Diceros bicornis minor: one gene and its partner. Each later gene encodes a partner of the first gene's protein in a complex. Links are inferred from orthologs where the notes say so. Each region holds a gene or a part of one and is shown in the gene's direction. Other genes may lie near its edges. The genes, in order: RANGAP1 and SENP2.

Region 1 (7,574 bases):
GGGAGAGCTGGAACGCATGGCAACCTTAGGTGTGACCATGTGCCGTGTTCATTCACTCACTCAGCAAACATTCATTGCCAGGCCCCATGCTGGGTCCTGGGACTGCAGAGAAACCCCATGTCCCCACAGCTCCAGTATAGTCCCAAGTCCCAGCCCTCCAGCAAGGAATCTTAACTTGGGATTTAGCGAAGGACCATGAAGATAGATGCACAACTCGAGGCTTAGGTTGGGGATAGTAAGAGTACTTTCTCCACAGGGTCACTGTGAAGATTAAGTGAGTTCCTGCATACAGAGCATTGACAAGTGTGTGATTAAAAAATAAATAAGGGGGCCGGCCCCATGGCACAGCGGTTAAATGCGCACGCTCTGCTGCTGGCGGCCTGGGTTCGGATCCCAGGCATGGCCCGACAAGCAGTGCCTCAGCGGCATCCCATATAAAGTGGAGGAAGATAGGCACAGATGTTAGCCCAGAGCCAGTCTTCCTCAGCAGAAAGAGGAGGATTGGCATGGATGATAGCTCAGGGCTGATCTTCCTCACAAAAAAATAAACAAATAAATAATACGTTCTTCTGGGAAACAGTCCATAGAATTCAGACTCTCAAAGGTGAAGGTGACTCAAAAAAAGAGAAGAGGAGGACTCAGGAGTTTAGAGACTGAGATAGCCACCAGACTGTAATACAGTAGATGACATGCAGAGGATAAAACATGGTTCCCAACATGTTATTATGAAAATGTTCAAGCATACAGAAAGCTGAAAGAACTATACAATTGTTAACATTTTGCTGTATTTGCTTTCTCACATATTCATCCATCCACCCATCAATCCACATCACATTTTGGTTAAAAACAAAACAGGTAATTGTTAACTTTCTTCTTTATGCTCTTTTGCGTTTATACTAATGTTTTTTACATGACTGTCAATTTTCATTAAAAAATGATTTCCATTTTGGAACAAAAGAATTATTAAAAGAGAACATAATCTACCAAAAGCAATTGGTACCGGGAAACCCTCTGTAAATGTTAGACTCGAAGTGAAGCTCCTCAGCAGATACCATCCTTTCCTCTTTCATTCATCACTGGATTCTCAGGAGCTGGAACAGTGCCTGGCACATAGTAGATGATGGATAACTATTTGTGGAGTGAATGAATTCTTTTAATTATGGTTGTTTATGGAGGTTAAAAAAATAATTAAGGGGGCCCTGGGCTTGAACCCAGGGGAGAATGTGGTTTGAGTTGTCTTTAATAGATGATGTAGCCACCCCCTCCCACCAGGGGAGGTGACCCTTGGGGATAAAGGGGCAGGCTCCCTTGCAAGGCTGGTAGGCCAGGCCTACCCACCTCTCTCCAGGGGCCCAAGGCGAGCACCCGATTGGACCTTGGGAATTTCTCTCCACATTCCTCACGTGCCTGGCATACTTCAGGCATTTGTTTTTGATCTGACTAAATGGCAAGTCTGCAGCCTTGGTAGCTCTTCAGGAAACCAGCATAAATATTGTTATTTATTCCATTTACGATTGGCAATTAAGTTTGTTTTCAGTCACCAGAATGGAATTTAAAACACTCAGCTAACGTAAACCAAACTAATCAGAGGCAGCCTGCTTTTCTCTTCAAAACATTCTTGTATAAAAAGCTGCACAACAGAGAGAGAAAGGTCTGGAACACTCCCCTCTCCTTTCTCCCCCCATACCCAGCTCACACTCACAAAGTGACTTGTTTTGTGTGCGTGTTGAAAAGGGTCCCAGAGATCTGGCTTCTACTATCTCTTTTCTAAATTACTGTGTATTTTGGGTGGGTTATTTGACCTCTCCGGGCCTCAGTTCTTCATTTGTTGAAAAGACGAAAGAGGTGGCCTAAGATGGCTATCCATCTGACAAAGGCAATGATTCCACTTCTTGGGCCAGGCAAACCGACTAGCTCTCAGGTGATACTTGAAAGAGAAAGAGAGTTGCAGAAAGGAAGGAGAGAGGGAGAGAAGATGACAAATGTGTTGCTTGGAAACACTCATGGTTCTGGACTCTTCTGACTCACTGTGCAAACCTCCTTCTCCTTTTTAAACCCAGTCTCCCCATTTTAAAGGTTTTTGAGATAAAATCTAGATCCAAACGGAATCTGCATTGCTAAGGGGTGCTGTCAGGCTGGGTTTGTGATTTTTAGCTTTGAATGTGAACACTTTCAGGCAGAACATCTACTCTCTGGCTCTCCACGAGCCTGGCCGGGCCCCCATTACCTCCTATTACCTCCTTGGCCCTTGAAGGCTATTGAGTTTCTGCTAAGAATTCCCTTCCAGTTCTGAAAAACGCTATGATCCATCAGCTGGACGAGGAAGGGGAAGATGGTCTAAGATGTCCTACCACCTGCCTTCCTCTCCCCTTCAGGAGGTTCCCATCAGAGGGCCAGGGAAAGTCTCAGGAAGTAAAACTGGAAAAGGGAGCCTGGAGATCATCCCAAGGAAAATCAGACTGATTTGACCAGTCCTAGCTGTAACCAGCACAGGAATAGAATCAGGCCTGATTGGGAGCATTTCAGCCTCTCAGATGATGAATCATTTTAAGCAAATGTCCGGTGACCCTGACTGGAATCCAGTTCAAATGAGGAAACTTGAAGCACCTATGACAGGCGAGGCCCTGAGAGGATGCTGCCAAGATGGATACAGTACCTGTCCTCGAGGCTCTCCCAGGTTGAGAAGGAAGCTGCCAAGAATACTGTTAACAAAGACTGTTATCTCTAACTGTGAAAAAGCCCTCAGAGCCGCAGACCAACTGCTGAGGGGGCTTTCAGCTTGCTATGGAGTCCCAGAAGAAGGTGACTTATTCTGACTGGAGTCCTGTAGGAAAGCTTCCCGGAGGAGGTGGCATTTGATATGGGCCTTGTAGGCAGAGAAGGAGAGGGAGGGTGAAGAGAGGACTCACATCTCAGTAGTTGTGTGAACCGTGAACCAGGTTCATTTTTCTCATCTCTGTGCTGGGAAGGGTGGTAATGATGCCCACTTCCTTTGTGGTTGTAAAGATTAAATTAGCTGAATGTGAAAGGATCTGGCACATAATATATTTAACTCTGAATCGCAGGTGAAGCAAAAGCATGTGTGTGGGCCGAGCTGTGAGAGTTAACTTTGGAAAAGAAGGCCACACGTGTTGACAGTGATTATCTCTAGGTGAGAGTTTCCCGGTAATGTTTACTTTCTCTTTATCCTGTTCTATATTGGTTGAAGTGTTTATAATGAACACGTTATTTATATAAGGGTTAAAAAGTTCTTTGTGAAAAGAAAAAAAAAAAGCTATTTGTGTTTCTAAAAAAAATTCAAACCTACAGAAAAGTAGCAAAAATGTTCAAATTCCCTCCCAAATACCCTTCACCCAGATTCACTTATTATTAACAGTTTGCCACATTTGCACCCTGTAAATATATGTACACATTTTTTTAACCATTTGAGAGTAACTTGCAGACATGCCCCTAATTATTTCAGCATATATTTCCCAAGAACAAGGGCAGTCTCTTACATAATCCAGTACAATAATAAAAATCAATAAATTTAACACTGATACAATACTATTATCTAATATACAGTCAAGTTTTGCTAATTGTCTCAATATTGCCCTTTATAGTAGTTCCCTCCCCCCACTCCTGGATCTAGTCTAGGACCATGTATTGCATTTAGTTGTCATGTTTTTTTAGTCTCCTTTAATCTGCAGCAGTTCCTCAGCTTTTCTTTTGTCTTTCATGACACAGTTTTGGAAGAGTATAGACTAGTTACTCTGCAGCGTGACTCAGTTTGTGTTTGTCTGTTTCCTCATGATTAAATTAATTTTATGCATTGCTGCTAGATGGTGATGCTGTGTCCTTCTCAGTGCATCACATCGGAAGGTGTGCGATGGATGTCAGTTTGTCCTGTCATTGATGTTAATACGGACCACTCGGTTAAGGTGGTGTCGCAGTTTCTCTACTATAGGGTTATTATTTCCCTTTTTAATTATCAATTAGTTTGTGGCTATTTATGTGGAAGGCTTCGAATGTCCTTTCAATTTCATGGGTCAAAACAGGCGAGGCTTTCCCTTCAGGAAATAGATACCCATTTCTTGCTGAAAAGATCCAGCAGCATGCCTTCCACAGTACCAGCCTTGTCAATAAAGTTACGTGAACGTTAACCCTTCCGGAAAAGCTGAGACAGCTAGGCCGCAAGGCATTAAGGGAATTGTAGTCTCCATGGGAGCTCGCTGCTAAACGCCGCCCTGTGGTCTCCCCGAGAAAGAGCCAGAAGCCGAACAGGGAGGGCGAAGAGGCAGCGGGCGGAGGTGCTGTGGAGCGCGGTGCATCACGGGACTGGTAGTTCGAGAGCGCGCTGCTGCCGCGCCCGCGCTGGAGGACTGGACTACCATGCCCGACAGGCCACGCGCGCGGGGGAAGGGAAGCCGGCCTGAGCCTTGAACAAATCAAATCAAAGGAAAGAAACTGCCGGCTTTCAAAATCCTCCTCCTCCGCCATCATCCGCCGCCGTGCGGAGAGCAGGTGGTGTCGGAGGCAGAGGCGAGTGGCGAGAGCCACCGGGAGAGCTGACGGACGGGCGGGCTGGGCATCGGGACCGCTGGAGTCGGAGGCGGCTACCCCGACCTGACCTGACCCGGACCCTAAATCAGTCCCCGCCCCGCCGGGCGAACGCGCGCGCTCGTGTCGCCCCACGCGGCGGCGCCGCCGCTTGTTCACGGTAGGGTCGGGGTCTCTTTCCTTTGCCCGTCACCTGCCTGGGATGGGGGCGGAGGCGGCGCCGCCCTGGAACTGGGCGAGGGAGGCGTGGCGCCCCTGAGCGCCTTCTGCGCGCTCCCGGCCTTTTCCCCTGAGCCTTCGACGGCCCAGTACGGAGCGGGTGGGAGTGGGGGTACTGGGGGGCTCTGGCCCCTGTCACAAGCAGGGAAACTAAGGATTAGAGAGGGCGTCTCGGTCGCCCGGGCCGCCCAGCCCCAGCTGCCAGTAGTGGCGTCTCCTGTTAGCGTCGGTGTCAACTAGGGGCGGTGTGCGTCCGCCGGGGCGCCCAGATGGGCCTCGCGCTGCCCGTCTGTCATTTGCCGCCCTCACTCGCGCGTTGCTGCCTCGTCGCCGCCTGCCAAGGGGCCCACCCCCGCGGAGGGCCTGGGATCGGCGTGAGTCACTGCGAACGCTTCGCAGGAGCCATGGGTGTGCGCCTAAGGAAGCCTGCGACGCTTCTGCCGAGAAGGGAGAGGACTGTGTGTACCGTTTGTCTTTGCTCTGCCGCTGACCCTTTGCAAACCTTGGACAAATCCATTCACCTCTCTGTGCTTCGATTTCTTAGTCTTTAAAGTGGATCGTGTGTGTGTGTGTACTGTCTGAGGAATGGGCCCCACTCCAGCTGAGAGGTTCTGTGTTCCTATTCCATCAGAGGCCCCACCACCATTTTTCTAGCCTCAAATTGTCCCGTCGCTTAACTGCAAGAGGTGGTGGGGTTTCAGGCTAATTTTTATTCAGTTTCAGCCCGTCATTCTTGGAGTACCTTCTAAATGCCAGGCCTTATGTGGCAGATAGAGTGATCCTGCAAAAACACAACGTCAGATCACGTCTGTCCTCTGCTAGAAACGCTCCAGTGGCTCTCCTTGTCACTCACAGTAAAAACCATGGTTCTTAAAATGGTCTTTGTGACTTAGTCCTCTTGTTAATTCTCTTTTCTCATCTCTTGCCTCCTTTCCCCATCCCTCTCTGGGCTCCAGCCCCCCTGGCCTCCTTGCATTACCTCTAAACCACCCCCATCCCCCACAACAGCCTTTGCATTTGCTGTTCCCTTTGCAAGAATGTTCTTCCTCCGGATATCTGCATGGCCCAATCCCTGATATCTGTCAAGTTTTTGTTTCTTTCTTAATAATAACTTCTCTAACTATTCTACTTTAAATTGCAACCCCTCCAAGAAATTTCTTACTGCCTTCCTTCCTTGTTTGTTTTTCTTCTTATCACTGGCTAAGATACTAAATATCTTGTTTAGAACATATGTTTGAAGAGGGCAGGGTTTTTGTGTTATTCACTGCTGTACTCCTGCTACCTGGAACAATGTCCAGCATACAGTAGTACTCAATAAATGTTTGTTAAATGAGTGAATGGACGTCTCCTTACCTAGAAGAATAATTCATGCATATTGCTAAAGATGTATAGACAGACAAACCAGGGTGGTGAGGATTCAGGTAAGGAGAAGGGAGTGGGAACCTGGCTGTTTGAGCCCAGAGGAAGCCTGCGGGAGTAGGAGGGTGGGGAGCTATCACAACTGTATCTTGATGAGTAGATTCGGGGATTAGGCATTCAGGATAAGAAGTCATCTCGGTGGGCACCTCCTGGTTCTGTCCCTGTATCAGTCTTTCTTGGTCTCTGTTGATCACCTGCCATTTCCTCTTTGGGAAAACTGAGTGGTCCTTTCTTCCAGTCTGCTGAGCTCCAGGCTGGAAGCTCTTTTTTCCAGCAGCTCTGCCTCTGGTCTATTGTGATGGTGACTGTTGTGATGTAGAGATCTCAGGTCTCCTAGGAGCCCTTGAGGTCTGGCTGCCATGGGCTGCCCAGTCTCCTGGCCAGGGTTGAAACCAGACGTGCAGTGGGCTGACCCCTGGGCCCCACCCCCAGAGTCATGTCAGTGTGGGTGGTGGGGCATTCTCTGGGATGGATGACCTGGATCCCGTAGCCATCTATGTCCTGTTTGAGGAATGGGACCCTCAAACAGAGAGCAGTCAAGATGATCAGACAGGTGTGTGCTTGAGGCAGACTCTTTGCAGCTGTGGGCCTGGGACTCAGCTGCCGTTCACTGGGGGCCCAGGAACTGGGCAACTTTACATGGCTTTGCTAGGTGTCCCAGCTGGGGCAGTTGGCAGAGGAGGACGTGTAGTGAAATTGTAACTCTTCAGAGGCTAAACATGATTTTTCTGCTTTCTTGCTACCTTCTCCACTTTTCTAGACTGTTCCTCCTCTAATGCTGTTTTCATTTCTACCAGTGGTTTAGCTCTTGGGGTCTCCATAGCAGGAGGAGGTGGGGTCAGGCTGATGTCTTATCCTGCCTTTCCCAACCAGGGGGCCCCAGGAGACTCCTCTGTTTTGTTTTGTTTTTTGGTGAAGAAAATTAGCCCTGAGCTAACATCTGATGCCAATCCTCCTCTTTTTGCTGAAGAAGACAGGCCCTGGGCCAACATCTGTGCCCATCTTCTTCTACTTTATATGGGATGCCGCCACAGCATGGCTTGACAAGCAGTCCGTCGGTGCGTGTGAGATCCGAACCTGCAAAGCCCGGGCCGCCGAAGTGGAGTGCATGCACTTAACCGCTATGCCATGGGGCCGGCCCGACTCCTCTCTTTTAATGAAACTTTGGCCTCCTCAGTTTGCAGATTGCGGGAGGAGCCTACGAACGTGGCCAACATGGCCTCTGAAGACATTGCAAAGCTGGCAGAGACGCTAGCCAAAACCCAGGTGGCCGGGGGACAACTGAGTTTCAAAGGCAAGAGCCTCAAGCTCAACACTGCAGAAGATGGTGAGTTCCTGCGGGGGCTGGCCCCGGGAAGGAAAGGGAGTGCGAGAATGAGCACTTAGTCTAATGCTCA
Region 2 (7,230 bases), on another chromosome or scaffold:
AGATTGTACCAATGTCAATTTTCTGCTTTTGATAGTGCATTCTAGCTATGTAAGATGTTACAACTGGTGGAAGCTGGGTAAGGGTACATGAGACATCCCTGTACTATTTTTGCAGCTTCCTGTGAACCTATAATTATTTCAAAATAAAAGTTTTTAAAAACTCCAAAAGAGAGGCCAACTCATAACCATTTGAATGTTAAGATTTATTCAAAGGTGCTCAGGAAAACCATTTCTTTACTTACCATCAGCTAGTCAAGAGTAAAGAATGCTTAATTTTCTCAACACTGTGACCTTGATAAATGACCACAACTCAAGAAGGGCAATATCATAATATCACTTCTCAATACCACAATTTCCCTCATTTCGAATGTACAATAACGTACTGGCTTTTTTTTTTCTTTAACCTAGAAATCACTTGCTACAGAGAGCAGAGTAGAAAGGGGTGGGTAAGCTTTCAAATGCGTGGACAGGAAAAACAGGTATGGAAGTTAATGGAACTGAGAGGAGTTGGTTTTATAACTCTCGCTGGCTTCAACCAATGACCTATGTCCTCTCCCACCCTGGTCTATGTCTCCAAGCTAGTACATGACTCACTGTAACATCCTTTTGTCTTCTTATCCGCATCAGTGACCCTGGAATCTCTCACTTGCGATCCAAGTCTGGAAGATAAGTTTGTTCCCTTGATTCATATTCTACAAGTAGATCAGGGTAACTTTCCCCAAATTCATATATTTGTTTCATTTCTTCATTCCTTCATTTATTGAACATTTCTTGAACTTTCATTTAAAAAAATAATAAGGAAAAAATAGGAGATAGCTCCTTCCCTCAAGGAGACAGACACATTAATGATCATAATAATACTAATATAGACATATGGATACACATCCCATAGGAGAACCAAGAAGGAAGCAATAAGATGATGGGAATCCCAGAGGGAGGAGCCATTGGAAAAGCTTCACACAGGAGGTGCCTTCTGAGCTGGGTTCAAAAGAGTAGGTAGGAGTTGAAGAGGTGAAGAAGGTGGTGGAAAGGCATTCCAGGGACAGGGAACAAACTTGGAGGCATAAAAGAAGTGTGGATTGAGAGTTTGGTGTGTATGAATAGGGAAATGATAAAGTAATTTGAAGACAGGCTTTGAAGAACTTTGTGTCATGCTTAGGATATTGGATTTTATCTTCAAGGCAGTGGGAATCTACCTTTTTTCTTGTTCACTTATTTATATGTTAATATATTATGATTATATAACAATACAAATAAATATAATAAATAATATGTACTAGAATCATATATAATATAAAAACATAATAAATAATATTAATATATGTAAGATAATATATTTAGGTTAACTTATTAACATTATTATATGAACAATTTTTTTTGATAGTTAATTACAAAACAAGAACTGCATTCTACTTTTCTGGCTTAAGAAATACTTTTCATGGAATAGAGCTACTTTGTTTTAGAAACGGAGACTTCCTTACAAACAGTGTATCAAATGAAATCAATGTAAGTCCAGTGCTTTCAGTAACTGCTTGTTTTCAGAGTGCTGCTCAGACATTTCAAGGAGAGACTGCTCTAGCAAGGCCTGTATGCACACTGGCAAGACAGAGGCAAAATGCTTTTACGTACTAAAAGTTCATTAGCATGTAATGACTTTTTTTTAAAAAAGTCAACAAAAATTTCAGAGGAATGCTCAACATTTAACATCCATCCATACTATGTATTTTAGATTTATCTGGATCTTAAACTGTTGTTTTATTTAATTTTTTTAAAATTTTTATTTATTTATTTTTCCCCCCAAAGCCCCAGTAGATAGTTGTATGTCATAGTTGCACAGCCTTCTAGTTGCTGTATGTGGGACGCGGCCTCAGCATGGCCAGAGAGGCGGTACGTAGGTGCGCGCCTGGGATCTGAACCCTGGCCGCCAGCAGCTGAGCGCGTGCACTTAACTGCTAAGCCACAGGGCTGGCCCCTAAACTGTTGTTTTAAAACAGTCTTATTACAATCAGATTTCTATTTTCATTTTAACTTCGCTGGCTTCCCAAGCATTGGTCATGAGAATCCTGCACCTTCATTAGACAATTATTCCCTGGAGCAGGCACACAGAGTTGTCTGTGTGAGAAGCAACTCTACGGGAAAATTCCTGTAATTTGCAAGGTCTATCCTTGCGACGTCTGACATGGGCTCCCATTTGGAACCATGGTGAACCATTTGAGGGGCTCATGCTGTCTAACCCAGCAGGGTATTTCTCATCTGGTGGCATCCTCCTCTTCTGGCTGCACCTCCATTTCAGCTGCTCCTAGAGATACCTGTCTCTCTTTTCAAGGTTCTCCCTAGGGTCATCCACAGTAAATTTTAGGCTTGCCCCATATTTTAAGTCAGACCACTCCAAACAAACCTCCGGAATTTGGTGAAAATTAACGTAACCATTTTTAACGTTTCAGTAACAGAAAACCAGAAATTTAATTTATAAGTTTACTTAATAAATAAGAACAACAACATATTTACCTTCCTTATCAAGAACAACAAAAGGCAACAAAACAACAACAACAAAAGACAAAAAGAGAGAGATTACCCTGAAAATAGATAGAAGAGGGACAGGGTAGAAGAGGAGGTGGCTATTGCAATGGTGTGAGAAATTATCAGGTCATGATCAACAGTAGTTCTGATGGTGAAACCGAGCACGAAGAGGTTTAAAAATCTTCCCTGCGCTAGCAGCAGAGAGCAAAAACTTGGAGATAAGCTTTGCTAACTGCAGCTGTGCATATTCAGCATAATCAACTTGTTTAAAACTAACCAGGTCTTTCTGTCCCTCCTTAGTATATGAACAAGCTGTCTTTCCCAGGAATTCAAGGTCCAGACATCAAGAGTCAGCCTCACAAGGCCACATGCAGGCTGAAGATGAAAACTAACCAGAGAAGCCCAGACAGTCAAGGGAAAGAAATTGAGTCCTCAAGGCCAAAAGCAGGCTGGTGGGAAGGTGCCAACCAGCGTGGCCATGTGCTCCCTCTCCCTTACCTAAAACCCCAGCACAGGCTCTCCCTTGCAACCTTTAAAACCCCTTGCCTCCCATCTTTCGGGGAGATGGGACAAATTTGAGAGCTCTCGTCTCCTGGCTGACGTTACCCAAAATAGAAACTCTTTCCTTGTTCCAGTTTTTATTTGGCCCCTCTTGTGTGGCGGGTATCCGGTTAACAATGGGTTTGGAGAGGGGAAGGGGCAGATTATGGAAAATGTAAAATGCGGAATTGGCAAGTTAAATGACTTGTTAGATAGGAGAAGGAAAGAGAGAGAAGAGAAACATTAAGCACTTACCTCTGCTAGGCATTGAAGGAGGTCCTTCACATACAGAAACACATTTAATTGGCCCACAGATCTGAGAGGCAGGTTTGACTGACTCTATTTTACAGGTTAGGAAACAAGCTTAGGTAGGGCCTGGTGCTGTTTCTCCACATGAGGCAGGCAGAGCCATACGAAATCAATGTGAGCAAATTTTGTAATAAAATCTAGGGCAAGAAAGAACTGCACTTGCTTTTGGCATAATAAGGCCAAGGTTATTATTAGACAGATTGAATAAGATCAAAGTCACCTTATTAGGAGGATACATTTTCCTTGAGTACCGGAAGAGTTGGTCCCCAGAAGGAAATTAATCTTCAGGGTGGTGAATTCTGTTGGATTTTAGGCACACTAGGCCAAAACCAACAATATCTCATCTATAGGCTCTTACCCTCTTCCATAAAATGGCCCAGAACCCCTTTCTGACAGGGATCAGCAAAGACAAAGTTGAGAGGAAATCTTTTTTGGGGGGTGTAGGGGGAAGATTAGCCCTGAGCTCACATCCGTTGCCAATCCTCCTCTTTTTGCTGAGGAAGACTGGCCCCAAGCTAACATCTGTGCCCATCTTCCTTTACTTATATGCAGGATGCCTGCCACAGCATGGCTTGATAAGTGGTGCATAAGTCCGTGCCAGGGATCCGAACTTGCGAACCCCGGGCCACTGAAGTAGAGCACGTGAACTTAACCACTATGCCACCAGGTGGGCCCTGAGAGGAAATCTTTTAACACTCCGAGAATGCTGGCAAAGGGAAAATTTGCAAGACTAAAGAATGGACTGCAGGGGTGGGTCTTTACTGTTCCGTGAAGGGGAGGTAGGTTTTGAGGAAGATGGGGGAGGGGCCCTGGAAAGGCTTGAAGGAGAAGGTCTTAGCAGGAGGACAACGAGGATCTTTATGGAAAACTGGGGCAATCGTTTGGGATTCCCTATGAAAACTTCAGCAATGAGGTCATGCCCCTACGGCGGTACAAGGGCGCAAGTTATCCAGAGCAAGGGCGGAGATCTCAATGTCCTTGTTACTCCACATGGTTTTGGGATTCTCCTCCGGCCCTCCGGTGAGGAGTTCCTGGGTCCGGGAATGGCTGCGACAGCGCTGGGGTTGGGGTTAAGGATAATCCCACTCCTTGCCCAGTGGACGGGCAGTGGCCCATGCCCCTACTGTGGACAAGAGGACTGCGAAGGCACCAACTGGCAGACGAGTCCCAGGCGGGAGCGACAGTAAGGCTGAGTCCCCTTTTTTTCTCCGTTTCAGAGGGCAACTGGAGGCACTAAGAGGACACAAAGGGGGTGTCTGTGTGCGGGAGGCTGGCAGCTGCCACACTCATGACTTACTGTTTGCTGATGAGGCCCAGGGATTCAGACTGAGGTCTGTAATTCCGAAGCCCTCCCACTTTTCATGGCGGATTACCGACATTTCAGTATTGAGTATGTGCACGTGCTATTAATAAGGCAGGAAAAGAAAAAATATTGTGCTCTGGTACTGTACTCGAGTGCTCTGAGACGGGATGCCAATACTTCTTAAATCTTGGTGGCCAGAACCTGAGACCAGCTGCTATCCTAAAGCAGCTTGCAGTTTTCTGATTTATGTTTTCAACGAAGCTTGCTCTTTTGTTTTGGGGAATCTCTTCTCAATACTTGAGTGGTCTTCTTGGTTTGGCAAAAGCAAAGACCAAGTCTTATAGTGGAATGGATAGTTGGGACACAGGTGAGCTGCTCTAAATAAGAATGCCAACCATAGTCTTCTTTTAAGTTAACTGGGTGTCTGGCCTGAAATGGGTTAGGGTAGAGGTGGAGGGGAAATTCTCTTCTGTTGGTGGCTGGTAAAAGATGTTGAGAAGAGTGGAGCAATTACCTCCAGGGGAGAAGAGTCCTTTTGGGAGGCAATGGACTATGGGCTATAAACGCTGTACTTGTAACAGCCACTTCTAAATCTTCTCAGCTTTGTAATTCTCTTATTCCCAAACTTTCAATAACAGCCCGGTGTTAGGTATGTTTGGGGGAATTAAGGGAGGGGCCTATGTCCACACTTAGGATTTGCTTCCACCTTCTAGGAACTGTCCCCCATCTTCCCAGGTCAGAGTGGTGGTAGCCACAGGTGTAGCTGGTGATTCTGGAGCTCTAGGGGGTGGCTTGCAGCAGAATTCTGGAACACTGTTTATTGATCAAAGGATAAGGCTGTACTAGGGAGTGCTTGTGTTGAAGTTCAAGTCAGTCTGGAAGTCTGGTCTTAACAGAATCACAGGTAAGGATCAAGTGTAGTCAGGGATTGGATCTGCGGGGCATGGAAAACTTTGAGGATTCCCAGGACTGTTTGGGGAGGGGACTGGATTTTCTATTACCAAGTAGGGTGGGACATTTTCTGTTGTTGATAACCAGAAGTGTGACCTCTAGATAACAGAGGGAGAGTAATTAGCAGCACTCCTTGCCAGCCCAGGGGAGGGGACTAGTAAGTACTAGTAGGCTACAGGTACATTTTCACCCTTAAGTTTCTGTGAAGACTTCCTTGAGTTGTGCCCTTCCCTTCCCCCGTACTTCGCTTACACGTTTATCACAGCAGCCAATTACCTGGTATTGTAATTTGTAATTATGTCTCTCCCAGTAGACTGACCTCAAGGGCAAGGAGCTGGCGCTGGTACTCAGACTCCGGTTCAAATTCCAGCTATGCCACTAGCCAGCTTTGTGACCGTAGGCAAATTACTTAATCGCTCTATGCCATGATTTCCTCATTTACTAAAAGTGGGCACAGACTCCCCATCGCCTGCGGTTGCTGGGAGAAATGAAGGTGACAGTGCATGTAAAGTACCAGGCATAAGGTATATGCAAAGTAAAGGGCGCCTAGCAGGGTAAACATTTGTTAATTAACCTGACCTACCTTTATTTCGTGCACTTAACAAACATTTACTGAGCACCTACTGTATTTCAGACCCCCGGAGAGCTCCCTCCCGGATGGAGATGCCTCACGTGTGGCCTGTGGGTCTTGTCCCGCGAGCCGTCTCAGGACTGGCTCCGCCAAAGAAAACCCCGCCCACAACCCTTTCGATCTCGTCAGCGATTGGACCGGGACTGTCCCGCAGGCATTTTTGGTTGCTAGGCTCGGGAGGTGGGGTCCTAGGTTGCGCGTGCGCAGATTGAGAACGAAGATGCTTTCCGGTCGGGCGGGAGGAGGTGACGTCAGGAGCGGTGGCGGGTGGGGGCCTCCTGTAGCCCTGGGGACGTTGTATCTGTGGGCCCTTGGTCCGCGTCACAAGTCAGCGACTGAGCCTTGGCAGTGGTGGCCGAGGCGGCGAAGGTGGCAGCGGCGGCGACAGCTCTGGGGTTTGCGTCTCGGGGTGTGTCGGCCGCCGCTGCTGCTTGGGCCTGGTATGTACAAATGGCTGGTTAGGATTCTCGGCACCATTTTCCGTTTCTGTGACCGTCCGGTGCCCCCTGCCCGGGCCCTCCTGAAGAGGCGGCGCTCGAACAGGTGAGAGGAGAGGGGGCTGAGCGCCGGCCTAGCTTCTCCCCCGCCCACCCGGGCTCGGCCGGGGTAGCGCTGGTCCAGCCAGGTCGGCCCTGCTCAGCCGAAACAGTTGGGGGGCCGAGGCTGGAGAGGTGCGGGTCGCGGGTGTCCTGGTGACGTCGCTCTCTCCACAGTGTGCGGATGCGACTCCTGTTGATGGAACCAGCTGGTTGTCTTTGGAGTGGCCGGTGATGGTTAGGATCTTTGATGTTCCTGTCAGAGTCCAGGCTGGTTGCTGTCAACAAATGCGGCTTTATCATACTTTGCTGCTCTTAGGTTGAAAATTAAAAATTGAAGGAATACTGTCTTTGTTGTGGCTCACTGTTTACAAAGCACACTCCCAAGTGTCATCTGTGGGTAATAAGTGCAGTTAAAGGAAGTGAAATTCATAGCTTGC

Evidence for each region.
Region 2: the proteins of RANGAP1 (region 1) and SENP2 are in contact, whole or in part, in a crystal structure (PDB 2IO3), measured with the Homo sapiens proteins. The link is inferred for Diceros bicornis minor from reciprocal best matches to the Homo sapiens genes RANGAP1 and SENP2. Residues at the interface, in NP_001265580.1 of Homo sapiens: Glu467, Asn508, Thr511, Thr514, Arg515, Val518, His519, Leu523, Lys524, Ser525, Glu526, Asp527, Val529; in NP_067640.2 of Homo sapiens: Tyr408, His409, Trp410, Val477, His478, Asp495, Met497, Gly498, Gln499, Lys500, Pro536, His537, Gln541, Gln542, Asn544, Gly545.

The regions. Positions count from the first base shown.
Region 1 is NC_080764.1:9,104,577-9,112,150, forward strand, and holds the start of RANGAP1 (ran GTPase-activating protein 1), read left to right. Parts: upstream 1-4,476; 5' UTR 4,477-4,699; intron 4,700-7,354; 5' UTR 7,355-7,392; coding exon 7,393-7,504; intron 7,505-7,574. UniProt on the Homo sapiens protein: GTPase activator for RAN. Converts cytoplasmic GTP-bound RAN to GDP-bound RAN, which is essential for RAN-mediated nuclear import and export. Mediates dissociation of cargo from nuclear export complexes containing XPO1, RAN and RANBP2 after nuclear export.
Region 2 is NC_080754.1:38,264,568-38,271,797, reverse strand, and holds the start of SENP2 (sentrin-specific protease 2), read left to right. Parts: upstream 1-4,204; 5' UTR 4,205-4,229; coding exon 4,230-4,552; intron 4,553-6,257; coding exon 6,258-6,797; intron 6,798-7,230. UniProt on the Homo sapiens protein: Protease that catalyzes two essential functions in the SUMO pathway.